7 linked regions of the Macaca fascicularis genome follow. The protein of the gene in region 3 purifies or fractionates together with the protein of the main gene of each other region. This does not show direct contact. Links are inferred from orthologs where the notes say so. Each region holds a gene or a part of one and is shown on either strand. Other genes may lie near its edges. The genes, in order: OGT, ING1, SIN3A, CHD3, BRMS1, HDAC2 and NR0B2.

Region 1 (2,724 bases), on a different chromosome or scaffold from region 3:
CATGAATGGGTGTGTTGGGGATCACAGGCTGTCGTCCAGGTTGGAGTGCAATGGCACGATCTCAGTTCATTGCAACCTCCACCTCCTGGGTTCAAGCGATTCTCCTGTCTCAGCCTCACATGTAGCTGGGATTACAAGCGTGTGTGCCACCACTCCCGGCTAGTTTTCTGTATTTTTAGTAGAGACGGAGTTTCACCATGTTAGCCAGGCTGGTCTTGAACTCCTGACCTCAAGTGATCCACCTGCCTCGGCCTCCCAAAGTGCTGGGGTTACAGGCGTGAGCCACCACATCCAGCCACTTTGCCGCCTTAATGGATCATAAACTAACCCACCACCCTCCACCAGACCTGGCTGAGAAAACAATTCCTAATATCATAGCTACAGAAGGGAAATTTGGTCCTTTGCTGCTGTTTGAGGCTGTTCAAATACAGGTTTCATCACTGGATGACCCTATTCATCAAGCCACTCAATATAACAGGACACAAAATACATCAGCCGTATTAAGGGGAAATCATTTATTGTTTAAGGATCGCAAGACAACATCTTAATTTCTGTAGCACGATTTAAATGTTTTACTTCTTTGATAAAGCAGAGTACAATAGAAAAAAAAAAAAAAACAATTAGTTTCCAGTAATATCTATATCTCTAATCAGAATTAAGTCTTCCACAGACATGTTACCTGGAAATAAAAGCCTGTTACAATAAGCAAAGCTTCAACCAGAGCGGCTACTTTTCGTGCCAGGAAAAAGTTCATCCCTGTAGGAGGAATGATGTGCTATGTAAAATGGCTGTAAGGTCACAGCCTTGAGGGCATTGGAAGTATATTACCCTATTCCACATTAAGTAGTTCGGTGAATTTCAAACGTCAGTTTATCTGCAACCATGCTGGCAACCTTTAACTGGTATTTCAATCATCCAGTAAAAAATAAATTAAGAAATCCCTTCACGGATATTCCGTGATTTACATTGTTAAAAGGTACACTGTTCATTAACATGTAATTCTGGTTCAGAATTACCTTTGAGACTCCTAGCTCAAAATTTGGTTAACAGTAAGCATCTTTCAGAAATGCAAGTTCTTATTAATCAATAATTTGTCAGCTAGGATACATTCAGGCATCAGCTGCAACTACAGAATAGGTGCACAGCCTCAGCGCTTTGGAAAGACATAATCTAGAACACTACTGGCAGACAAAAAATTACCTGCGACTGGATAGCGTAAGTGCAGTACAGCGAGACAAAACATATATTCATATGTTGGCTTGTTTAAGCCTCAAACCCTCGACTCTGTTGAGATCCCATAATTTTATTCCTATGACTTTAATAACTCAAGTTCCAGGAGGACTATAAGTCTAATTTGTACTCCAAACCAAATAGCAGTGCAGTTTGCTACTATTGAGGCTGAATCTGTACAGACTTCAAGACCAAGTCCAGAATATCTAAAATATAATTACTTGAATACACAGATGGTCCTTCAGAGATTTTACCTATAACCTGTTTCTTGATGAAGGTTATTTAATGCACTGGAGATAACTGTGACTTACTGATCAAATACTTGAATACTTATACTTACCTGGGATTTCATTTCTGCTGAAAGAAATAGGAAGAACAGGACTCACTTTAAGAAAAAAAAAAAAAAACTTTAGAAAGGAAGGTAAAAATCTTACACACACTATCACTTTTGGAAGCAGCATAGAAGGGGCAGTCAAGGGTAAAACACTGGTGAAACAGGTCAAAATTAGGCCAAAAAAAAAAAAAAAAACTATATTATTATCAATGACAGTACCACAACTGTGCCCTTGATAATTAGTCATCACTCCTAAAAATTTTCATTTGGCACCAGATGGCGTGTTTAAGAGAAACACCCTAGGATGTTTTGAATCAGACTTGATTTTGTTAGTTGAGTTACAGGAGAATTTTAAGGGTGGGGGTATGGGGGTCAGGGAAGAGAAGGAAATGGGAAATGGACCAGAAAAAATCTTGAGTCATCATCTAAATCAACAAAGCACTGATAGCTCCAAACATTAGGTCAGACACTAAAACGACTGATATAGGCTCAAGTGGTTTATAAAACCTATAAAAAGACTACACCAGCAAAGTCCCTGTCGATCTGTCAGAGTTCAGAAACTAAAACAGGGAGTAACATTTTAGCTTAAAACCTTATCTCAAGAGAATCATATACACTTCACATGAATAAAAATACCTGAAACCAAACATTTTTAAAAGCTCCAGTACCCAAAATATAAAGAAAAAAGTTAATCCAGAAGACTGAATCAATCCATGGAATCACAAAGCGGCCGGACAATCTATATCTCCCCTCCACACTAACCATCCCATGGAAGAGACCAAGGGAGATCAGACCTTCCAGACCTATGCACCATCTGGTCGCTGCAAAATTCTACGGAGATTCCTTGTGGAACAGCAGTTTCCCATCTCTTGTGTCTCTCCCTACCATGCAGGAAGCAAGTCTGGCTGTGCTATTCTATTACCATTATATATCACCCATCTGCAACAAGGTACTGTACAGACAAGTAAGAAGTATGTTATCTAGTTCCCTTTCCCCCAGAAGGTTGAGGCTCAGGTATAGGGGTAATTCTCCTGTGCAGTCTTTATTTATGCTGACTCAGTGACTTCAACAGGCTTAATCATGTGGTCAGGTTTGTTGCCAGCTGCATAATGCTCCCACATCTGTAGATAGAGCCGCTCTAGTTCCATTGTGTATTGTTT
Region 2 (4,238 bases), on a different chromosome or scaffold from region 3:
AGCCTCCTGAGTAGCTAGGACTACAGGAGCACAACTGTAATGGGTCATTATTATTATTTTTTAACTGCAGTGAATGTACTAGCCTTGCTTTAAAACAAAGCTGGTAGATTTTACTTTTGCATCTACTGCTTAAACAAAAACATCTTCACATCTATTAAAGTCAATGGACTTTAAAATGCCATCAAAAAGAAAAGAAAACCTCTTCAGTATTTAAATATAAAACTTCTTGGGCATGTTAGAGGACAGTGCATATGATTTTAAAGTGTAATTAGGCAATTTCTCAAGAAACAAAAGCTGTTAAAAAAGTCTAGTTGAGGCCGGGCGCGGTGGCTCAAGCCTGTAATCCCAGCACTTTGGGAGGCCGAGACGGGCGGATCACGAGGTCAGGAGATCGAGACCATCCTGGCTAACACAATGAAACCCCGTCTCCACTAAAAATACAAAAAAAATTAGCCGGGCGTGGTGGCGGCGCCTGTAGTCCCAGCTACTCGGGAGGCTGAGGCAGGAGAATGGCGGGAACCCGGGAGGCGGAGCTTGCAGTGAGCCGAGATCGCGCCACTGCACTCCAGCCTGGGCGACAGAGCGAGACTCCGCCTCAAAAAAAAAAAAAAAAAAAAAAAAAAAAAAATCTAGTTGAAATAAGGGCAGTAAACAGTCTTGCCAAAAGGCTACTCACAAAGAAATTCCAGAGCTCTTTTTCCTCAAACAATAACCATTAAATTAAACAGTACCAGATTATTCTCCTAAAACCTTTTTGCAGTCTCTTTAAACAAGGCAACAATACTACTTTTTTTGTTGAGACGGAGTTTTGCTCTTGTTGCCCAGGCTGGAGTGCAATGGCGCGATCTCGGCTCACTGCAACCTTGGCCTCCCAGGTTCAAGCGATTCTCCTGCCTCAGCCTCCCGAGTAGCTGGGATTACAGGCATGCAACACCACGCCCAGTATTTTCAGTAGACAGGGTTTTCTCCATGTTGGTCAGGCTGGTCTCCCAACTCTCGACCTCGTGATCCGCCTGCCTCAGCTTCGGAAAGTGCTGGGATTACAGGAGTGAGCCACCGTGCCAGGCCAACAATACTACTTGTAAACTAGGAAGTGTATGGGGAGGGGCTGGGAGTGGGAGGGATTGTCTAAAATGGTACCCCCTCCCTTTCCAGATCTTATCTCCAAATAGTTATAAGATATATACCTAACACTAGAGTAAACATAAGAAGTTGGGCCAACGCTGAAGCTTCTCTAAATGGTATTATTTTCCAGAGTATATTCTCAAGCTAAAGACAGCTCTGAAGACATTTCCTAGAGGAACAATGCAGGCTGCCTGCCACCAGGAGGAATGCCCTAGTCTCAAATAGTCACTAATTATAAAAATAAATAGCTGTGTTCAACGTATCCAAGTAATACCAATTTATCCAACTTATTTATCATAGATGTTAAAATATGAGTGTGTACCATTTATTTTTAAATGGATTTAGGCTTATAAAATGGTATCACTTCTTTTCATCAGTAATCAAAGTTCTAAAGACAGTATTGTCATTTGATGGAAAAGAAAACCATCATATAAATTTAAAATTTAATAACACAGAGGTTATTTGGCATCACAAGCAAGCTTCCATCCAGACGAAGCCTAATTTGTGGGGAAGAGAAACAGATATCCCATTGCAAAATTACCAAGAAGTATTTCTGTTACCTAATAGTTCTTTGATACCCCAAACAAAGTATTTTATCAACAAAACCACTAAGTACAAATATTTATAGACAGGAACACCACCACTGCGAAATAGGAAGCCATCCTTCCAGACACTCTGCTCCTTGAATGCCAGCAACTCAGCTTCAGACACACTGCTACCTTTCTTCCAAACATACTCCACACCAACATTACCATGGAAAGCAGCAACACATGGAATTTACAGATTAAATGAGATTGTAGCAACATTGAAATTGGTTTGTCCAATTATTTTAAATGTATTTTAATTTTACGTAAGGGTTGCCCTGAAATTCTTTATGAAGCGGACTTCCCAGGGGGTGGGTAGGTATTTTTATAATAATGTTTGAAAAATAATTCAAGCAATCTCAAACACCATTTTAAATCGATAAACTAATTATAATCCATGTTTACGAATTAACAGACAACCGATGCCTACTAAGCAAAAGACGTCTGACTTCCTGTAGAGTAGATCTGTGAAAACAAGCTTCGTCTTTCAGAACTACGCAGCAGAGCTCAGCATTTACAGCGAAGTCCAAGGAGCTGTGACCCTTGCGACAGATTCTCGCGCTTCTCAGCGCTACCAGTTGCACGGCTCCAGTACTCCCGCAGGCGCGGGACTGTGATCTTTCCTGAAGCCAAAAAGTTCATCATCCTAGGTGAACCTGAAGCAAGCAGCAAGCCAGGCTCTCCCCAGCAACGACAGGAGAACAAAGTGGCTCCGTGAACTTTGCTGTCTTGACGGCTGGGACCCTGCACCCCGCCCCGCGCTTTTTTCTATCGTTGAACGATCAGAGTGGTCTCAGCCCCTGCCTCCCTTCCGTCCGGAGCCCCAGGGTCACTCCACGGAGCCCGCCCGCCCCGAGGACAGCACCTTCCAGGAAAGTTCCCGCGCCGAGGGTCCCGCTCGTGGACGCAGCCCCAGTCACTCACGTTTCCCCGGCCACGCGCGGCCCCTCCCTCGGGTCAGCAAAGATGCGGCCTGGGACTGTCTGCGGGCCGGTCTCGCGGGTCGCGGGAGGCGGCCCGAACTGCAGCCCCGGCCCCGAGCCCCCAGCCCTGGGGTCCCCGCTACTGCCATAACTCCGCGCCCAAAAGTGGCAGTGCTGAGTGGGGGCCTGGGCGACACCAGCCGGCCCTCCAGCCAATGGGGAGGAGGCCAGCGGGAGACTCGCCGCGCCCCCCGAGAGCCGCCGCATATGGGAATCGCCGATTTGGAGGGCGGAGGCCAGGAGGAGAACCAACCACACCGCAAGGCGGAAGAGCACAGCCCGCCCCAGCAGCGACAAGGCCCAATCCGAGGCTGGAGGCCGAGCGACCCGAAGACGTTCAAATCAACCACACTCCACCCCGCTCCTCCCCGAAAAAGAAAAAAGAAGACAGCGGAAACACAGACCCATGCCAGTTATTGCGCTACACCCGCCTTCATCCGCCTCAGCGACCAATCGTTCCGCAGGGGAATGATAAGGACATTCCACGAAGGACGTCACAGCCAACCACCGGAAGGCTGAGGCGGGACGTTCCACAGTATGCTAATGAGATTCCTATAAAAGCAGCTGCGAAGCTACGTCTTGGATAGAGCGCGCAGGGGCGCCTTCCCGGTAGGGGTATCTGGTGCTTTCGGGCATGGCGATGGATTTTTTTTTGCCCCCACCTAACTCTTCCGTTTCCCTACTGCGTAGCTTTGTAAACATTAGTAAACTCGGAGTGGTGATCCACATTCAAAACAGAGCCCCCAAAGCCTTGACTGACCTCGCAGAAAACTTTCCCCAACAGCCAACAATTCCCGGCGGACACGAACTCGCCACCTCTCTCTGACACCCTGGGCGGCCAGATCTGCAGAGAACGACCCACAGGTCCTCTCATCTGCCACAATCCTCTCCAACCCAGCGATCTGCCCGCGCCCCCCCGAGCGCAGCGCTGCGCAGATGGGCGCCTTCCCCGCCTCCGCTCCTCCCCTTCCCTTCCCCACGGCACACAGAGAAAAACCCTCGTCCTCCGCAAACTACAACCGGCGGCGTCGCCCCTCGCAGTCGGCCCTTACTCGGTGTCCAGTGCCAAGTGAGGGCCGGAGGGGACTGGGCGGGGGCGACCGAGCTACCCCGAACGGAGTACTACCCGGTACTTTATGTAACACTCGGATTGGGGACTGGGTGGGGGGCGGCGAAGAAGGGCCAGGGGAGCGGCGTTGCTCCGGACCGAGGCACCGGGTCCGCGGGAACCCCGGCCCACAGCCGCCCTCCTCCTGCAGCCACATCTCGGCGTCCTACAGCCCCAGGCGCCGGCACATCCCTCCATCTCGCGCCGTAATCTGCACCCCCTCCTAGAGGACGCGGCTTGGACCCGCCGCCCCCTCCCCCGCAGCACCCGCCTCATCACTTCACTACAAAGAGCGCTTTGGTCGCGCAGCCTTGCAGCGAGACCTCTCGCGCCTCCTTCCTCCTCCGTGTCCCGGGCTTTGCACACAAGGACCTTGGCGAATCAAAGGCGCTCCAGACCTTTTGTTCCTGCCCCTGCCGAGGGCCGCCGCTGCGGAGC
Region 3 (3,500 bases):
TAAGCAAAACAAACCAAAAAACCCCAAAACGAATTAGGCACCATCCTTGATGTCCTCCTTTTGCTTACCCCCACATTTGATCCAATACCATCTCTTGTCAATTAAATATCTAAATTATATCTACATCCAGGCGTGGTAGCCTGTAGTCCCAGTACTTTGGGAGGCTGAGGTGGGTGGGTCACTTGAGGTCAGGGGTTCGAGACCAGCCTGGCCAACATGGTGAAACCCCATCTCTACTAAAAATACAAAAAATCAGCCAGGCGTGGTGGCGCGTGCCTGTAATCTCAGCTGCTCAGTAGGCTGAGACAGGAGAATCGCTTGAACCCAGGAGGCAGAGGTTGCAGTGAGCCGAGATTGGGTCACTGCACTCCAGCTTGGGCGACAAGAGTGAAACTCTGTCTCAAAAATAAATAAACACATAAAATCTACAATGTAATTCTTGCAATTCCACTGCCACCCTAGTAGTCTGGGTGGTCCCCAAATCTCATTTGGACAAGGGCACCCTTGAGTGGTCTCTGCTCTTCCAACTTTATACATACCCATCTCCACTCTCCTCATAGCACTCCAAGCTATCTTTGTCAAATGTCCCAATGCATCTCAAACAAACTCCAAACCATGGCCTATTAGACAAAGTAATGTGGCCTCTGCCTACCCTTCTAACTTCATGCAACCTTGAGCCACAACGGTGTCTGTAGTTTCTTGAATATGCCATGTTCTTTCCTCCCAGCCTTGTACTTGCTGTTTTGTCTAGAAAACACCCATCCTCTACTCTTCACCAGGCTAATTCCTTGTCATTATTCAGGCCTCAAGCATCACCTCCTTTGAGAAGCCTCCTCCAGTGAAAGCAGGGCCTGTATGCTAGTTACCCTTGATCACTGCACCTGATTTGTTTCCCTGGTAGTGCATATCATCACATTACTTCATCTGATCAACTTCATGGCTGTAGTCCCAGGGCCTGGCATAACACCCTGTACACAGCTGCAGCAGGAAGGTTTCACAATTGAGATAGAATGTAAAAACAGGTAGAATTCATACAAGCAAACGATCAGATACTACTTGAGATGTAAATACTGGGAGTAAATTCACTAAAAAGGTGCCACCAGGTATTTATATGCTCTTACGGGCTGAAGTGTGTTCTCCCTAAAATTCTTATGTTGGCTGGGTGTGGTGGCTCGTGCCTGTAAAGCTAGCACTTTGGGAGGCTGTGTCAGGCAAGACTGTCTCAAACAAACAAAAAATCAAATATTGAAGTCCTGGCCCACAGTACTTCCAAATGTGACCTTATCTGGAGGCAGACATACACACAGGTAGAAACACCATATGAAGATAAAGGCAGGGATCTACAAGCCCAGGAATGCCAAAGATTGCCAGCAAAGAACCAGAAGCTAAGAGAGGCCTAGAACAGATTGTCCCTCACAGTCCTCAAAAGGAACCAACACTGCTGACACCTGACTTTGGACTTCTAGTCTCCAGAACTTTTGTCGTTTAAGCCACACTCTGTGGTACTCTGTCACAGCATCCTTAGCAAACCAACATACCTACTTCCTCAGCTAAGTCTCAGCTCCAAGAACAGGTTTGCATAAACAAAGAGAAACAATCAGAAGACTCTGGGCCTCCCCTGCTCCTAGCTAGGGTGGCAGATGTGTACAGAAATTAGTTACTGGTTCTCACCTGATGAGCCCGGAGCAGGGCAGTCCTCCGATACATATAGTCCTCTGATTTGATCACATACACCATCTTGTAGGAATTCAGCTTGAATCTACACTCCAGCTTATCCAGACTATCCACATTCTCCATGGTCTTCTTACTGTTTCCTTCCTTCCCTTCCTTTTCCTGCTGCTCTCGACCACGCTGACATTTCCGGATCCGCCGTAGATTCCTATGGCAGAAAAGCCCTGAAAGATGAGAGCTCATCCAGACACAGATTCCCGTGACTTCCCCCAAGTGAGTTTTCTTTATTATATGCTTACATAGTACTCATCCCAATTTGTTAAATACATACAAAAATGTTCCGTTGTTTCACTGCAAAAAAAATTTCAACTGCAAAGGTACACAGAATAAAAAGTAGAAATCTTCACCCATCCCCTACTTGCCTTAGCAGATGCAGCCAGTTAAGAGTTTTAATGAGAAACTTCTGGGCCTCCGTCTGTAAATTTACACATGTAATTACCAGCTATAATTCTGCTTTGGGATTTGTTTCTAAGACAAAATAGGATCATACTATATATTCTGTCCTCAACTTTTCACTTACTGTCATGAGTATTTTTTCATTTCATGACAGATTTGTCTTATTCTCTTTAACTGCTGCAGAAAAATGTACCCCAATTTACCATTCCTTAACAGTTTATTTCAACTGAGGTTCCTCATCTGAACCACATAACAAAAAATTATTTGAATGCCTATTTTTAAAAATTCCCCCAGATGATATAAACTAGTGCCACTCTACATAGACAAGAAAGAAGATAATTCACATGAATGGATGCCCTGAGGGGTGGGAGGCTTGCTAAATCTCCTCAACATCCAGTGAAGAAAGGTTATCAGCTAGACAATTATACTGTTTCTCATAACTTGCTATTAAAAACACTGCTTCAGGTTGGCCGTTGTGGCTCATGCCTATAATCCCAGCACGTTGGGAGGCAGGTGGATTGCTTGAGCTCAGGAGTTTGAGACTAGCCTGGGCGACATGGCAAAAACCCCTTCTCTACAAAAAATAAAAAAATTAGGCAGGTGTGGTGATGTGTGCCTAGAGTCTCAGCAACTTGAGAGGTTAAGGTGGGAAGATCGCTTGAGCCCAGAAGGTGGAGGTTGCAGTGAGCCAAGATCCCACCACTGTACTATAGCCTGGGAGACAGAGTCAGATACTGTCTCAAAAAAAAAAAAAAAAAAAAAACCCCAAAATATTGCTCTAGTGAGTATCTTTGTATACATGTATTTCTGTAGACAGCAGTTCTTTGTCCAAAGGGTCCCAAGACCCTTTTAGGAGATCTGTGAGATCAAAACTATTTTCATAATAATACTAAAATATTATTTCCCTTTTTTGCTGTGTTGACATCTGCACTGGCACCATAAACGTAATGGTGAATAAAAATGGTGGTGGCGCCAAATTGTATTTGCAATATCGAACAAATTGTTACCAAATTCCAATATCAATCTATATACATCACTGAGCTTTTCATACAGTTGTCAAACTCTATTGGTTTATTTTGTACCATGAATGAATCCTTTTACTTCCACGATTTTGTAACCTCATGCAATTGCAATTCAAGTCTTTGAACTTCACACTGACTGCACAATGACATTAAGTGAAAAAAAGCCAGTTTCACTTAAGAAGGTTTCTGATGGGCCAGTCACAGTGGCTCACACTTATAATCCCAGCACTCTGGGAGGCTGAGGCAGGCAGACCACTTGAGGTCAGGAGTTTGAGACCAGTCTGGCCAATTGGGGGAAACCCCATCTCTAATAAAAGCACAAAAATTAGCCAGGCATGGTAGCGTGCACCT
Region 4 (3,500 bases), on a different chromosome or scaffold from region 3:
GGATGAGCAGATCCCCTTGAGGAGCAGAAAGCAGCAAGAGTCTCCCCAACCTGTGAAGCCACCATCTGCGATATTGAACATGAACCGGGGCTTCTCTGTCTTTTCCTCTCGTCGCCCATTGGACCGTGGCTCATCTCGAGGCCCTGGTCGAAGCTCCCGGTCACCTTTTACATCTTCTGCTAGGACAGACAGGTGAAAGCTCACACCTCAGGACACCCTCCTCCCAGGTCCCAAGACTACTATCTGTACTGTGCTGTCCTGGCCTTTCAAACAGCTACCCGCCCAGGACCCAAGCATTTGGTTCCCCAGACTCCACCTCCCCTGATGCCCTCAGGGACCCAGGTGTCCGGTCCTTCCACCCATTACCTCTCTTGCCCAAATCCCCTGCTTCCCCCTCCGGCCTCTCCCTGTGTTCCTGTCCATCCATCGGCTTCTCCTCCCCCCTTTCTCCTGGCGTCGACTCTGTGGCTGTGGGAGGGGGTAGGGGATAGGAAGGGAGGATGTTACCCTCATCCTCTGACCCCAGAAGAGGGACATCCCAAATTCTAATCCCCCATCACTCCTAAGGCCATGCACCCACCTGACTTCTCTCTGTCCCCACGGTACCCAGGTTCAAGCTCCATCTCTCCAGGTACCCCTGGCACCTCATCCTCTAGAGGAATCTTCCTTGGCTCCAGCCGCTCCCCGAGTGATGGGGCTGGGCTGGGGGCATCAACCTGTAAGAGGACAATGGGGTCAGGATGAGCTGGAGGGCTCCCAGGCATCTGGCCTCCAAGCCCCCTCCCCTCCCACTCCACAGGGGAATCCAGGGAGCCACACACCTCTGTGTCCATCTTCTCCCCAATTCTGCTGTTCTTCTCTGGCTTCTCCTCCTGGTTTTCAGCTTCCTCCTTCTCAAGAGGAGTCCTTATGCCTTCTCCTTTCTCACTTGGAGCTGGAGTAGCTGCAGGGGAAGGCACAGTGATAAAGACAGAGGTTCTCTTGCCCTGACTCCTGGCTCCCTTTCTGTCTCTCCCACCATCCTGATTTCTGATTACCAGGTTTAGAGGTGCAGGGACTGTTGGTAGCAGAAGCCTCAGGAGTGGTGGGAGACGTTTTGGTAGGAGAGGAGGCTCTGGAGGAGCGCTTAGAGTCAGCGCTGGGGTCGGGCATCAGTTCCGGCATTGACCAACGCCCATTGATGTGCTCAAACTCCTGCACCTGGGGTGGGAAGGACAGGTGTCAGCTCCAGGCACTTACAGACATACAGACAGGAAACTCCAGTCTCCTCCGTCTCACACCAGCGCGAGCTTACAACTCAGGGACAGAGGCAGAGGAAGGACAGAGACTAGGCAGCCAGCTTGATTTTTTGGGTGAGAGGAAGACTGATACCTTCTTCTTGACGAGAGACATGACTCCAATGCGGGTCAACACCTGCTGGCGACTCAGTCCCTCCCGAGGGACCCCATCGGCAAAGGTTTCAGAGCCGTCTGCCCCAGGCTCACACAGATGGCGCATGAACAAAGATACATAGGCCCTAAGAAGCATGGGGTGGGAGGACGGTTAGGGAAGCCACAGAAGGGGTATAGGGCAGTGAGGAAGATGCAAGGATGACTGAGGACCCCCAAGTCCCCAAATCCCCAGATGCTCCAGGGCTCCTCCCCTGGGCCTCTCACTCTCACCATTACCAGCCCTCCAAGTCCTAACCGTGCCCCTGCGCCCCATCCCTGGCCTATCCCCTTGGCCTTGGTACTTAATTCCTGGGCCCCATCAGTCAGCTCTTCATCCTTTCCACCAGCTCCTCCTGCCAGGTGATTGTGGCCAAGTAAATGTGAGGCTAGGACAGCCCAGGAGAGGTTCCTTGCTTCAACACCTCTCCCCTGGGGAGAATGCCTGGCCCCTCTACTCTAGGCTCGGCTGAGGGGAGGTGGGGTGGGCTGAGACCACCCCCCAGGAAATCGAGCCAGGAAGCGTTGTATGGTAGGGAGGGTGACAATCAGTTGAGTAAGGTCACATCATATGGCGGCCCCAAGGAAGAATGGAACACCCAAAGCTCTTACCCTTGCGTCCAACTCAGCCCTGCATCACCCACACTCACTTAAACTCCTTCTCAGTCTTGCCCCTCAGGTCCCGCACCAGCCACTGCGTGGTGAAGGCATCCTGTGGTGGCATCCCCCAGCGCATCACGGCATTGAGGAAAGCCTTCCGCTGACGGGTATTGAAGCCCAGCACCTGAGGGTGGGGGCAACGAGGCAATGGCGACAAATGTCCAGGGTTCTTAGGTCTTGTCCTTTCTACCCTCAGTGATCCAGGCCCCAATTTCCAACCTTCTGCCCTCATGCTCTCCTTGGAGAACTCACGAACACTGGGCCCAGCTCTCACCTCAATGTTGCCCCCGACTCGGGCCAGCAGTGGAGGCAGTGGCTTATCTTTCTCATTCCGGAGCTGCCTCTTTGACTGTCTACGCCCTGAGAGTGGGGATGACATCAATTAGCTGATCCACCACCTCCTCTAAGCCTCAGTCCTCCTTAGCACCCCATTCCCACAAGACACAGAACACAGGAACATTCCTATCATGTTTGAGGTGCTCCCAATTCTCTCCCAAGCACTTCAGAACTACTAACCCAGTGACTGTAAAAGAACTAGTCATATTTTAAAATTAATAGCTGATATCTGACAAAGGCCCAGATTACCAGTGGAAATGGAAAATGATTCAGCCTTTCTTGATCTAGTCTATGTGGTCACACAAACCGAAGTTTACTAGTGGAGAGACTATCAACATTGCTTCCTTTCTGCTCATCTGCAATGGAGTTTTTCCACACACACACAAAGATTTTTTACTTGTACAAAAACAGTGGGCTTAAAGCAAACTGAAAAATAAAATGGTAAGAGGTAAGAGTCAGGAACACAGATGCCACCTTCAGGACGTTCATCGAAGTCTTCATCCTCCTCCTCTGAACCCACCGAGTACTCTGACTGGTTGTCTGTGGGGGTGGAGAGGGCCCAGTGGTCAGGGAGGTCTCTCGGGATATGCCCATGCTGGGGCCCTTTCTGGCTGGCTTCCTCCCTGCCGAGACTTGTCTACCTTTATTCTGGCCTTGGCCCTTCTGGGAACGCCAGGTCACTGCCTGAAGTCTGACTTGGGAGCCGCATATCCTACAGCATCTCCATTCACCGCCCACCTTCAGTCTCTGGGCCCCTCTGGTTCTCCTGCCAAACCTACTCTAAGCAGTGGCCCTGGGTGTCCACAGGATGCCTGTGCAACCACCAAATAGTTTAAATCACCTGCAAACCCACCTGGCCTCCGGGTAGTTCCTAATGACTCTACCTTACGTCTTTCCCTTTTAGCAGGGAAAGGCTCTGACTTCTAGGCTTCTCTCTTACTCTCTAAGTAGCCCCAGCCTTAAGTCCCTTCTCATCATCACTTCCCCCACTTTTACTGCCTGCATCTGGGGCAGTCCTCACCTTGGTCTTCCTGAGCAGCATCATTGTAGTTAACTTGCTTGCGAACCCGCTTGCCC
Region 5 (2,878 bases), on a different chromosome or scaffold from region 3:
GCCTCAGCCTTCAGAGTAGCTGGGACTATAGATGCACACCGCCACACCTGGCTAATTTTTGCTAATTTTTCTAGAGACGGGTTTCACCATGTTGCCCAAGGTGGTCTCGAAATGAACTCCTGGGCTCAAGCAATCTACCTGCCTTGGCCTCCCAAAGTGCTCGGACTATAGATGTGAGCCACTGAGCCTAGCCCGTTTCTGTTTTCCTAGGGTCCACATAGCCCAGAGAGACCCAAGACCCTGTAAGAAATTGCTGACAGCTGGATTTGCCTGGACATGGTCACATGACACCAAGCAACCACAAGTGCATCTAGTGCGACTGTCCTCCATGTCCCCTCCAAACCTCTCCCCCAGGTCTGGAGGTGACCCTAACATCCTGCCACCTTTTAGGCCACCTTAGGTGAAAGGATACCAGAAACCAGAGGTGCCTTCTTCCTCTTGCTGGGCGGCAGGGAGTCCCAAGACCTGGAGCTGCCTCTGGCGTGCAGTTTGTCGTCCCACCATTCTGCCCCCAGACCCAGAGTTAGAACTGGGGTGCTGGCCCACAGGACACTCTCTCTTCTGTAGCCTCTGCCCCCACCATGGGCCAGCCTGGCCTCATATCCCCTGCCCCATCACAACCCTGGGCTTGGGGTAGGAAGCCCCTTAGGGCTGTTCAGGTCCTGCCCGCACAGCTGTGCAACCCCGGGAAGAGGCCGCTGCACTTCTGTGAGCCTCATCTGTTTAGTGGACAGTGGGATGACAATTCCTGCCACCCCAGGACTCCACATGAACACAGGTACTATGAACGTGGAGGGGACTAGAGCTATTGCATGGGACTGCATGTCACACTGATACCTGTTTTGGAAAGAGCAGGGGCAGAAGAGGGCAGGGAGACCCACTCTGCCCGAGCCCCTACTGTGTGCCAGGCCCTTTCCAGGCCTGGTTTCCTTCAGTCCTCACACTGACCCCAAGAGGCAGGTCCTCTGACTGTCCCCTTGACTTCAGGACATCTGAAGTCTAGAAAGGGGTGGGCGTTGACAGAGCCAAGCCCAGGGCCGGGGTGCCCGGGCTCTCGCGCTCACCAGAGCTGAGGTCCAGGCTCTGGCGGTCCTCCTCCAGCCTCTGGATCCGCTCCTGCAGCTCCCCCTGCAGTGTGTCATAGAGCAGCAGCTTCTCACTCTGGAAGAGGGGGCAATAGCTCAGCAGGACGGATGGGGAGAGCTCACTTCAGGCCTTGCGCCCCGCCTTGTCCCCAGTGTGCCCAATCAGGCCCACCTCCAGGTGCTGTTTGGCTCCCTGCAGCTCACATTCATACTTATTCCTGATCACATCCAGACAGAACCCCTTGTAGATCCCTGCAGAGAAAGGAAGGAGGGACCCTGCTTGGCTGGGGAGCCTGGTGCCCACACAGGAGGGCTGAAAGCAAAGGGTGAGGCCAGGGAGGAACAAGAGAAGAAGGGGACAGGGTGCCATGGGTTCTGGGAGGGGAAAAAGGCACAGAACCACCCACAGACCTGCCACCTGAATGCGAATCTTGAGGCTCTGCTGCAGCCCCCCAAGGGGCTCCGTGTATTCAGGGGCTCTCTCAGCCCCTACTTCCTCCAGCCGCAACCGCAGCTGACTCAGTCGTTCCCTGAACAACCTGGGTGGTAAAAAAGGCAGCCGTGCACCCATTTGCTCACCTATTGCTCTTGGGCAAACACGTACCCAGCACCCATTCCACAGCAAGCCCTGTGTTAGGCGTGCACTTCCTGGGCACCAACCACGCCTGCCCAGTACCAGGCCCACCACCTCCTCATCCCAGCTCCTCGCAGACCCAGCCCAAGGTGTCCCCATGCTCACTTCTCCTTTAGCTCCGAGAACTGCTTTTCTAGGTCCAGCATCTCACTGACACACTCGCTGCGGCGCCGCTCATAGTCCTCATCGTCCATCTCTGGGACAAGAGGCCAGTAAGGGCTAGCTCTGGGGAGGGGTGGTGGGTACCCACATGTGTGCATGTGCGTCCTTCATGTGTGTGTGTGTGCATGCGTCCTTGTGTGAAGGGGCTGTGTGTTTGTATGCATGCTTGTGTGTAGGGGCTGTGTGTGTGTGTGTGCTTGTGTGTAGGGGCTGTGTGCGCGCACGTGCTCGTGTGTAGGGGCTGTGTGTGCATGTGTGCTCGTGTGTAGGGGCTGTGTGTGCATGTGTGCTCGTGTGTAGGGGCTGTGTGTGCATGTGTGCTCGTGTGTAGGGGCTGTGTGTGTGTATGCGTGCTTGTGTGTAGGGGCTGTGTGTGTGTGCACGTGTGCTCGTGTGTAGGGGCTGTGTGTGTGCATGTGTGCTCGTGTGTAGGGGCTATGTGTGTGTGCGTGTGTGCTCGTGTGTAGAGGCTGTGTGCGTGTGTGCTCGTGTGTAGAGGCTGTGTGTGTGTGTGGGTGCTCGTGTGTAGAGGCTGTGTGTGTGCGCATGCGTGCTTGTGTGAAGGGGCTGTGTGTGTGTGCGTGCTTGTGTGTAGAGGCTCTGTGTGTGTGCGTGCTTGTGTGTAGAGGCTCTGTATGTGTGCATGCTTGTGTGTAGAAGCTGTGTGTGTGCGTGCGTGCTTGTGTGTAGGGGCTGTGTGTGCATGTGCATGTGCTTGTGTGTAGGGGCTGTGTGTGCGTGTGCATGTGCTTGTGTGTAGGGGCTGTGTGTAGGTGCTTGTGTGAAGGGGCTGTGTGTGCATGTGCATGCTTGTGTGTAGAAGCTGTGTGTGTGTGCTTGTGGCAGAGGCTGTGTGTGAGTATGCTTGTGTCTAGGGGCTGTATGTGCATGTATGTGCATGCTTGTGCGTGGGGGCTGTGTGTGTGTGTGTGTTTGTGTAGGGGCTCACCGGAGCTCTCCTCTTCTGACTCTGTCTGGCTGCCGCTCCGCTCCTCCT
Region 6 (3,500 bases), on a different chromosome or scaffold from region 3:
AAACCTGCATAATAATGACTTATATTAAGCTTATGATCCTGGCTGGGTGTGGTGGCTCACGCCTGTAATCCCAGCACTTTGGGAGGCCGAGGTGAGTGGATTACCTGAGGTCTGGAGTTCGAAACCAGACTGGCCAACATGGCGAAACCCTGTCTCTACTAAAAAAAGTACAAAAAAATTAGCTGGGTGTGGTGGCATGCACCTGTAATCCTGCTACTCAGGAGGCTGAGATAGGAGAATTGCTTGAACCCCGGAGGTGGGGGTTGCAATGAGCCGAGCTCACGCTATTGCAGCCTGGGCAACAGAGTGAGACTCTGTATCCAAAAAAAAAAAAAAAAAAAATTATGATCTATCTGAGCAGTAAGAAACTAAAATGTATTTCTTATAGTGCTTGTGACTTAAGGATGTACAAAGATATTAATATATAAAACAAGGACCCTTATTCTTGAAGAGGTTACAATTCAAGGGCATAGGGAAAGACTAAGAAAGGGTTATATATGTCTGCCATATCCCCTTCATTCTGTCAATACTGAGGAACTAAATGTGTGATGTTGTGTTATTTATCTGTATATGTTTTTTCCTTGTTGTCTTTAATGTCCTTCTGTATTTTGGCTCCCATGAACCTAGTTAATTCTTACAAGCTTTCAAGATCAAGATTAGCCACGGAAATAGGCAACCAGCTGTTACATCTTTTTGGTTTAGTAACTTCCTGACATGCATTTCAAAGTTACAGATATTAATACGTATTTAAGGAGTTTTAAAGAAAGTAAATCATACAGCAATTGAAGTTACTTTTAGAATGTTAACTTACTGTAATATTAAGGGGAAAGGTCTAGAAAATTTAAGCCTGTGTTTTAATTAAATGAGAACTGTTGTGCATAGACAACTATTGAGTTCTTGTTAATAGACCAGAAATATTCCACAGATACTCCTGATAAGATTTGATGATGATCTTTCACAGATAACACTGTAATTACCTTGGATAAAACAATAAATATATTTTAAAGTTGTAAACTTTATATTACACTGTGAAGTGTATGTTTGATGATTGCATCAAGCAAAAAAAGTATTTGTAGGAAATAGTTTTTGTAAGAAAAGGCTTTCATTAATTTGCAGAGTGTGTTGAAATTAATGAAATCCATCTTCCACAGTTAATGTTGGAGAAGATTGTCCAGTGTTTGATGGACTCTTTGAGTTTTGTCAACTCTCAACTGGTGGTTCAGTTGGTAAGTGCTAATACAATCAGATTTAAAAGTTGTTCTAAATTTGGTGTGTATCTTCCAGGTTATTTGTGTAAAGCAGGAGTTTTAATGATTGTGAATTTTGATAACAAAAGGAAATCAGTATGTTTATAGTACAGTACAATTTGCTTTCAAACCTCTGTTTTGTTATTGTGACTTAAATACTTTTGTAACTTACATTTTTCACTTACAGACTTCTTTCATCCCCCTTGTCTTCTAGCTATCATTGTTAGTACCACCATCTACATAAACCATTATTTAATCTCAGGGCGCAGCTCTGGGAGAATGTTTTTCTAAGGAGAAACTCCTATTTATGTCATAGATGATTTTTGTTAAGTTTTATGATTTTAAGCTCTTTCTTATGCATGGCATACACTTGTAGGGTTTTCGTCTCGTTGTACTAATTTTTTATGTTAAATATTTAAAAAGTCTACCTTGTTTCTACTTCTTAGCTGGAGCCGTGAAGTTAAACCGACAACAGACTGATATGGCTGTTAATTGGGCTGGAGGATTACATCATGCTAAGAAATCAGAAGCATCAGGATTCTGTTATGTTAATGATATTGTGCTTGCCATCCTTGAATTACTAAAGTATGTTAATTTATATTGGTACTTTTTTCAGTGATAAAATGTTTTCATTAAAACACAATAAAAGTCTGTGGCTTAAAAAAAATCAGGTAAGCCATAGGTTGAAATAGTTAATGGTGAATTTTCTGGGAATTCATTACAAAACAATGAAGAAATGCAGGGAGTTTGCCCAAATCTTCAATTATTAAGAGTTAGTGTGTGGCCAGGCACTATGGCCGAGGCCTGTAATCCCTACACTTTGGGAGGCTGAGGTGGGTGGATCTCTTGAGCCCAGGAGTTTGAGACCAGGCTGGGCAACATGGCAAAACCCCATCTCTGCCAAGAAAAAAATTAGCCAGATGTGGTGGCATGCATCTGTAGTCCCAACTACCCAGGAGGTTGAGGTGGGAGTATCTGAGCCCAGGAAGTAGAGTCTGCAGGAAGCCATGTTCCTGCCACTACACTCTAGCCTGGGCAACAGTGTGAGATCCTACCTTAAAAAAAGAATTAGAAGTGTATAAAAGGCTGGGTGCCCGTGGCTCACGCCTGTAATCCCAACACTTTGGGAGGCCAAGGTGGGTGGATCATGAGGTCAGGAGTTCAAGACCAGCCTGACGAGCATGGTGAAACCCCATCCTACTAAAAACACAAAAATTAGCTGGGCATGGTGGCACGTGCCTGTAATCCCAGCTACTCAGGAGGCTGACGCAGGAGAGTTGCTTGAACCTGGGAGGCAGAGGTTGCAGTGAGCCAAGATCATATCAGTGTACTCCAGCGTGGGCTACAGAGCAAGACTCTGTCTCAAAAAAAAAAAAAAAAAAAAAAAAAGAATTAGAAGTGTATGTAAATGTCAAAACTCCCATTAAATATCCTTTTTTAAAAGTAGTTTGGCAGTTTTCATTTTAGTTAGTTTCAACTAATAAAAAATGACAATGACCTTGGAAGTTTATGTTCTAGTATTTTGTAAATTGTAAATTGAAGACAAAAATTTGAAACCAGTATTTAAGGAAATTTGTTTACCTGTTGAGTTAGTCTAACTGCCTAACTTCCATATGTGAATGAGGCTTTGTTCTCTACTGATGGATATAAAATTATCTCTGAGTTGCTGCAGGAGTTATTTTTCCTTAGCTGTGGCTGCAGTTTGAGAGAGAGAGATCTGTAGAGGTACTTATGAATGTGGACATTTGCAATGTTATTTTTTGCCATCAGTTATGACACATCTTAGCAGATTCTACTTTATATTGTACTGAGCTGTTTTTTGCTTGTAGTTATTCCATGCATGCTATCCATAGAGGCTGATTTTTCAGTCACTGAAAATTGATACTGACTCCTCAAATAAACAGTAATTGAGCAGGATCAGTGTAACATCTTGTCAGCTCATCAGGAGCAAAGGAAAATCATTTGCAATCATTTGCCTTGTGTTTTAATTGACTGTTGATGTTGGTTCCAGTGTCTTCAACTCTTTGAGCAAGTTCTTGCCCACTCAGCTAATAGTTTTAAACAACTTTAATTTCTCTGGACACAATTTTTTTGGGTGGTGTAATCAAACATGATTTAATAAATTGACTTGGTGCACAGCTTTCCTTGCTTATCTAACACATGAGCCACTCAGAAACTTTACCTTGATCACAGCCTCATTTCTGTTTTTTAAATTTTGTGAAGAAATTTTGCTATACTATTATACGCTCTTTA
Region 7 (4,111 bases), on a different chromosome or scaffold from region 3:
CTGTTTCAATTCGGGAATGGACTGCTTCCTGATTGGCTGTGATTGGGCTTTAACTGTGGTGAGAGGGCGCATGAAGTGGGTAGGAGCCAGGAGAGTGGTTAGTGAAGGGTTTGGGAACAGGAGAGCAACCTCCTTCCCCTGAGGATAAAGGCAATGAGGTGATGGGATTGTGAACTGATACTGTTCCCTGGAAAATTAGTTCCAGCAACCCTGTGGATTTTTTCCCTTGGGCTACCTCTGATAGGAGCAGGGTGGGCCCTGGAGGTGAGACAGTCCCTTCTATATGCACAAACAACAGTATCAGGCTCCAAGTGTTTCATACCTTTTATTACAAAAATCAATAACTTAATTCAGTTCTGTATAAAGTCAGTAGGACTTCTGGTCCAATGAGCAGCTTAAGCTTTCATTCCCATCCCAACAAGGGACAGGAGTCTTGGCCCAGAGGCTGTGGGGACCACCAAGAGCCTTCCAGGCAGCTGGAGCACTGTGTCCAAACCAAGGAAGTCCAATGTGGGGTGTGGCTGAGTGAAGGGCTGTTCCTAAGGAGCCAAGTGCTGTCTATACAGCCTTGCCCCCTCCGGGAGCATTGGGTCACCTCTGGTGATGGCCAGGCTGAATCAGCACTGCCAGCCTCTGCCCACCTGATCTCTGCCTGGGCTACAGCTGGTCACCTCAGCAAGAGCATGTCCCCAAGAAGGCCAGCGATGTCAACATCTCCAATGATAGGGCGAAAAAAGAGGTCCCCAAGCAGGCTGGTCGGAATGGACTTGAGGGTGGAGGCTGTGAGGAGGACACGGGCCAGGCGGCCTTGGGCTGCTGGGCACCAGGGCTCCAGGACTTCACACAGCGCCCAGTGAGCCTCCTGCTGCAGGTGCCCAATGTGGGAGGCGGCTTGGAGGCCTGGCACATCTGTGGGCAGAGAGGGAGAAGAGGGTTGGTGAGCATCCTACTCCCAGCCACCAAAGGAAGAGACTGGCCCAAGATCTGGGCCATCAGAGACACCCCTCTGCCTCCTTTGCTCGGCCTTTGAGGTCCCACTACTACCTCCTCCTTTGGAGGAGGTAATTTATTTATCAATTTCCATTGTATTCATCCATCCATTTATGAAGAGGCAGTATGGAGTAATGGTTAAGAATCAGGTTTCCTGAGTATGAATCCCAGTACTGTCACTTAGCTGGGTGACCTTGGGCAAGTAACTTAATCTCTGGGCTTCAGTTTCTTTATTTGTAAAACGAGGATAATAATATTAATAGGACCTGTCTCCTAGGTTTTTATGAGATTTAAATGAACTAGTATATGTAAAACCCTTAGAATAGGGCCTAACATATGGTAAGTGTGATATGAGTATTTGCTACTATTATTGCAATTAACTACTACGATTTATGCGTGCCACAGGGACTCCTGGGGAACGCTCATCTCAGATGCTCTCCAGATTACAAAGAGCACTGTCTCATCTGCCACTCTCCTGGCCAAATTCCACAAAGACTCCCTTCCTGTCCTCCCTACACCCCTTTCAGTTCTCTCTTCTAAGTGATCTTTCTGAACCCACAGAGGAGTTTCAGCTCTAGAGCTTCACCATGCAGCCTTCCTTTGAAGATGTGACTGAGACACAGCTGTGTCTGCCCACCCCACCTCCCCCGCAGCCTTCTCTAAAGGTCAGAGCAAATTTCTCAGGCAGAGTGGCAAGGGCCAGTCTCTGGAGTGAATAGACCTGAGTTGCCATCCTGGTCTGTCCCTACCTGGCTGTGTTACCTTTAGCTCGTCACTTAGCTTCTCTGTACCTCTTCTGTGAGATGGCTATTTGATGAAAATGAGGAACCGGCCAAGCACAGTGGCTCACGCCTGTAATCCAGCACTTTGGGAGGCCAAGGTGGGTGGATCACCAGAGGGATCAGGAGTTCAAGACCAGCTTGACCAACATGGCGAAACCCCGTCTCTACTAAAAAATACAAAAATTAGCCGGGAGTGGTGGCGGGCACCTGTAATCCCAGCTACTTGGGAGGCTGAGGCAGGGAAAATTGCTTGAACCCAGGAGGCAGAGGTTGCAGTGAGCCAAGATCGCGCCATTGCGCTCCAGAGTAGGTGACAGAGTGAGACTCTGTCTCAGAAAAAAAAAAAAAAAAGAAAATGTGGACCCCATGAGATTACAGATATCAAACCCTTAGAAGTTACCTTCCCTGGCTGGCTCCTGCTTCAGCCTTGCCCCCTACCCAGGAGTGTCTGGGAGCTCACCAGGGTTGAAGAGGATGGTCCCTTTCAGGCAGGCATATTCCTTGGGGCTCAGCTCCAGGCCCCAGAAGGACTCCAGACAGCACTGAAGCCACTGCACTGCAGCCAGGGAGGGCTGGGGTCTGTCTGGCGGCTGGCCACTGCCTCCACTGCTGCTGGGCTCCTCCAGTAGAATCTTCTTGAGTATGCTGGGCACCGGGGCCTCAGCCACTTCAAAGGTCACAGCATCTTGGGCCAACCCAAGCAGGAAGAGGGGGCCCCAGCAACCCTGCAGCAGCCGCCGCTGGTCCTGGGGAGGCAGCTGCCAGAAGGATGGCAGGTTCCTGAGGAAGGCCACTGTCTTGGCCAGAACATCCAAGGCCTCCCGGCAGGTGCGATGAGGTGCACATAGCTGGACGGGCCGGTGCTGCCTACATAGGCAGCGGCTACGGGGTCGGGGGACAGCCCTGAGGCTGGAGCTCAGAAGTGCGTAGAGAATGGCTGGGCGGCTTGCAGCTCCCTGGCATGGGCAGGCCCCTGGTTGGCTGGTGCTCATGGTTGGGATCTGCCCTTACTTCCAGCTCTCTGGCCCTCTGTTCTGCGCCGTGGGTGCTATTTATATTCCCAGTGAGTGGAAGGGGGGGAATGGCCCGACAACCTTGACTCCAGAAGTCATGTTCATTGAAAAAAACACACAGACACTGCCCCTGGCAGGAATGGTGGGGAAGTGGTGGGGGAGGGGGCATTGGGAACCCCACGTGGCACTGATATCACTTCAGTCAATGAAGTGGCCGGTGCAGGGCACAGGGCCACCTGCCGCTCACTCAGCTGCCCCTTATCGGATGACTCAAGTGGATAAACAAGGTCATTAACCCAGGTTGTACCAGGGCACCAAGGCCCCAGGTGCACAATCAGCAGGTGTCCCCATTGGTGCCTGCTCTTGTGTGCACAAAAGACTAGCGCTTTCGCTAAGCCAGGAAGTCAGCCCCAGAGCTGGGTGGGCCTTGAATGCAAGGCCCGACCTGGAAGTGCCTTATCACTAGCTTGTTTGCCTAACCTTGGGGCCCTGCTTCTGTTGTCGGCCAGGAGCAGGCTACAGGGAAGGGAGCCAGGACCCTGGGGGGGCTGGGAGGACTTTGCCCGCTGTCCAGTCTCGGAGGCCCCCTTCCTCTGGTTTCAGTTCTGGGCCCCCTGCAGGAATAAGGTCCTTCAGAATCCCTATCCCCTGCCTGATTCCTTTTTTTTTTTTTTTTTTTGAGACGGAGTCTGCTCTGTCGCCCAGGCTGGAGTGCAGTGGCCGGATCTCAGCTCACTGCAAGCTCCACCTCCCGGGTTTACGCCATTCTCCTGCCTCAGCCTCCCGAGTAGCTGGGACTACAGGCGCCCGCCACCTCGCCCGGCTAGTTTTTGTATTTTTTTTTAGTAGAGACGGGGTTTCACCGTGTTAGCCAGGATGGTCTCGATCTCCTGACCTCGTGATCCGCCCGTCTTGGCCTCCCAAAGTGCTGGGATTACAGGCTTGAGCCACCGCGCCCGGCCTTTCCCTGCCTGATTCCTACCACTCCTGAAAGTCCAGTCCTGCTGAGAAGAACTCACAGAGTTATAATAAAAGATAGTTGCCAGCTGGGCATGGTGGCTCATGCCTGTAATCCCAGCACTTTGGGAGGCCGAGGAAGGGGGATCATTTGAGGTCAGGAGTTCAAGACCAGCCTGGCCAACATGGCAAAATCCTGTCTCTACTAAAAATACAAAAATTAGCCGGGCATGGTGGCATGTGCCTGTAGTCCCAGCTACCCTAGAGGCTGAGGCAAAATAATCACTTGAAACTGGGAGGCAGAGGTTGCAGTGAGCTGAGATCATGCCACTGTACTCCAGCCTGGGCAACAGAGCAAGACCCTGTCTC

The links.
Region 1: the proteins of SIN3A (region 3) and OGT purify together in Homo sapiens (affinity purification with western blotting; 4 studies listed by BioGRID, with this or other methods). This does not show direct contact. The link is inferred for Macaca fascicularis from reciprocal best matches to the Homo sapiens genes SIN3A and OGT.
Region 2: the proteins of SIN3A (region 3) and ING1 purify together in Homo sapiens (affinity purification with western blotting; 5 studies listed by BioGRID and IntAct, with this or other methods). This does not show direct contact. The link is inferred for Macaca fascicularis from reciprocal best matches to the Homo sapiens genes SIN3A and ING1.
Region 4: the proteins of SIN3A (region 3) and CHD3 purify together in Homo sapiens (affinity purification with western blotting; 3 studies listed by BioGRID, with this or other methods). This does not show direct contact. The link is inferred for Macaca fascicularis from reciprocal best matches to the Homo sapiens genes SIN3A and CHD3.
Region 5: the proteins of SIN3A (region 3) and BRMS1 purify together in Homo sapiens (affinity purification with western blotting; 4 studies listed by BioGRID and IntAct, with this or other methods). This does not show direct contact. The link is inferred for Macaca fascicularis from reciprocal best matches to the Homo sapiens genes SIN3A and BRMS1.
Region 6: the proteins of SIN3A (region 3) and HDAC2 purify together in Homo sapiens (affinity purification with western blotting; 24 studies listed by BioGRID and IntAct, with this or other methods). This does not show direct contact. The link is inferred for Macaca fascicularis from reciprocal best matches to the Homo sapiens genes SIN3A and HDAC2.
Region 7: the proteins of SIN3A (region 3) and NR0B2 purify together in Homo sapiens (affinity purification with western blotting; 3 studies listed by BioGRID). This does not show direct contact. The link is inferred for Macaca fascicularis from reciprocal best matches to the Homo sapiens genes SIN3A and NR0B2.

Annotation. Positions count from the first base shown.
Region 1 is NC_088395.1:78,293,671-78,296,394, reverse strand, and holds the end of OGT (UDP-N-acetylglucosamine--peptide N-acetylglucosaminyltransferase 110 kDa subunit), read right to left. Parts: coding exon 2,611-2,724; 3' UTR 501-2,610; downstream 1-500. UniProt on the Homo sapiens protein: Catalyzes the transfer of a single N-acetylglucosamine from UDP-GlcNAc to a serine or threonine residue in cytoplasmic and nuclear proteins resulting in their modification with a beta-linked N-acetylglucosamine (O-GlcNAc).
Region 2 is NC_088391.1:101,291,285-101,295,522, reverse strand, and holds the start of ING1 (inhibitor of growth protein 1), read right to left. Parts: upstream 2,801-4,238; 5' UTR 2,782-2,800; coding exon 2,634-2,781; exon of another isoform or gene 2,140-2,633; intron 1-2,139. UniProt on the Homo sapiens protein: Cooperates with p53/TP53 in the negative regulatory pathway of cell growth by modulating p53-dependent transcriptional activation. Implicated as a tumor suppressor gene.
Region 3 is NC_088381.1:52,597,009-52,600,508, forward strand, and holds part of SIN3A (paired amphipathic helix protein Sin3a), read right to left. Parts: intron 1,880-3,500; coding exon 1,672-1,879; intron 1-1,671. UniProt on the Homo sapiens protein: Acts as a transcriptional repressor. Corepressor for REST. Interacts with MXI1 to repress MYC responsive genes and antagonize MYC oncogenic activities. Also interacts with MXD1-MAX heterodimers to repress transcription by tethering SIN3A to DNA.
Region 4 is NC_088390.1:7,972,755-7,976,254, reverse strand, and holds part of CHD3 (chromodomain-helicase-DNA-binding protein 3), read right to left. Parts: coding exon 3,445-3,500; intron 2,964-3,444; coding exon 2,898-2,963; intron 2,448-2,897; coding exon 2,362-2,447; intron 2,212-2,361; coding exon 2,078-2,211; intron 1,946-2,077; exon of another isoform or gene 1,807-1,945; intron 1,517-1,806; coding exon 1,372-1,516; intron 1,201-1,371; coding exon 1,038-1,200; intron 944-1,037; coding exon 822-943; intron 717-821; coding exon 581-716; intron 469-580; coding exon 367-468; intron 180-366; coding exon of another isoform or gene 177-179; coding exon 51-176; intron 1-50.
Region 5 is NC_088388.1:8,060,479-8,063,356, reverse strand, and holds part of BRMS1 (breast cancer metastasis-suppressor 1), read right to left. Parts: coding exon 2,831-2,878; exon of another isoform or gene 1,916-2,830; coding exon 1,825-1,915; exon of another isoform or gene 1,625-1,824; coding exon 1,497-1,624; exon of another isoform or gene 1,338-1,496; coding exon 1,258-1,337; exon of another isoform or gene 1,162-1,257; coding exon 1,065-1,161; exon of another isoform or gene 506-1,064; coding exon 413-505; exon of another isoform or gene 1-412. UniProt on the Homo sapiens protein: Transcriptional repressor. Down-regulates transcription activation by NF-kappa-B by promoting the deacetylation of RELA at 'Lys-310'. Promotes HDAC1 binding to promoter regions.
Region 6 is NC_088378.1:17,995,119-17,998,618, reverse strand, and holds part of HDAC2 (histone deacetylase 2), read left to right. Parts: intron 1-1,151; coding exon 1,152-1,226; intron 1,227-1,693; coding exon 1,694-1,832; intron 1,833-3,500. UniProt on the Homo sapiens protein: Histone deacetylase that catalyzes the deacetylation of lysine residues on the N-terminal part of the core histones (H2A, H2B, H3 and H4).
Region 7 is NC_088375.1:208,192,675-208,196,785, reverse strand, and holds NR0B2 (nuclear receptor subfamily 0 group B member 2), read right to left. Parts: upstream 2,801-4,111; 5' UTR 2,765-2,800; coding exon 2,233-2,764; intron 910-2,232; coding exon 668-909; 3' UTR 312-667; downstream 1-311. UniProt on the Homo sapiens protein: Transcriptional regulator that acts as a negative regulator of receptor-dependent signaling pathways. Specifically inhibits transactivation of the nuclear receptor with which it interacts.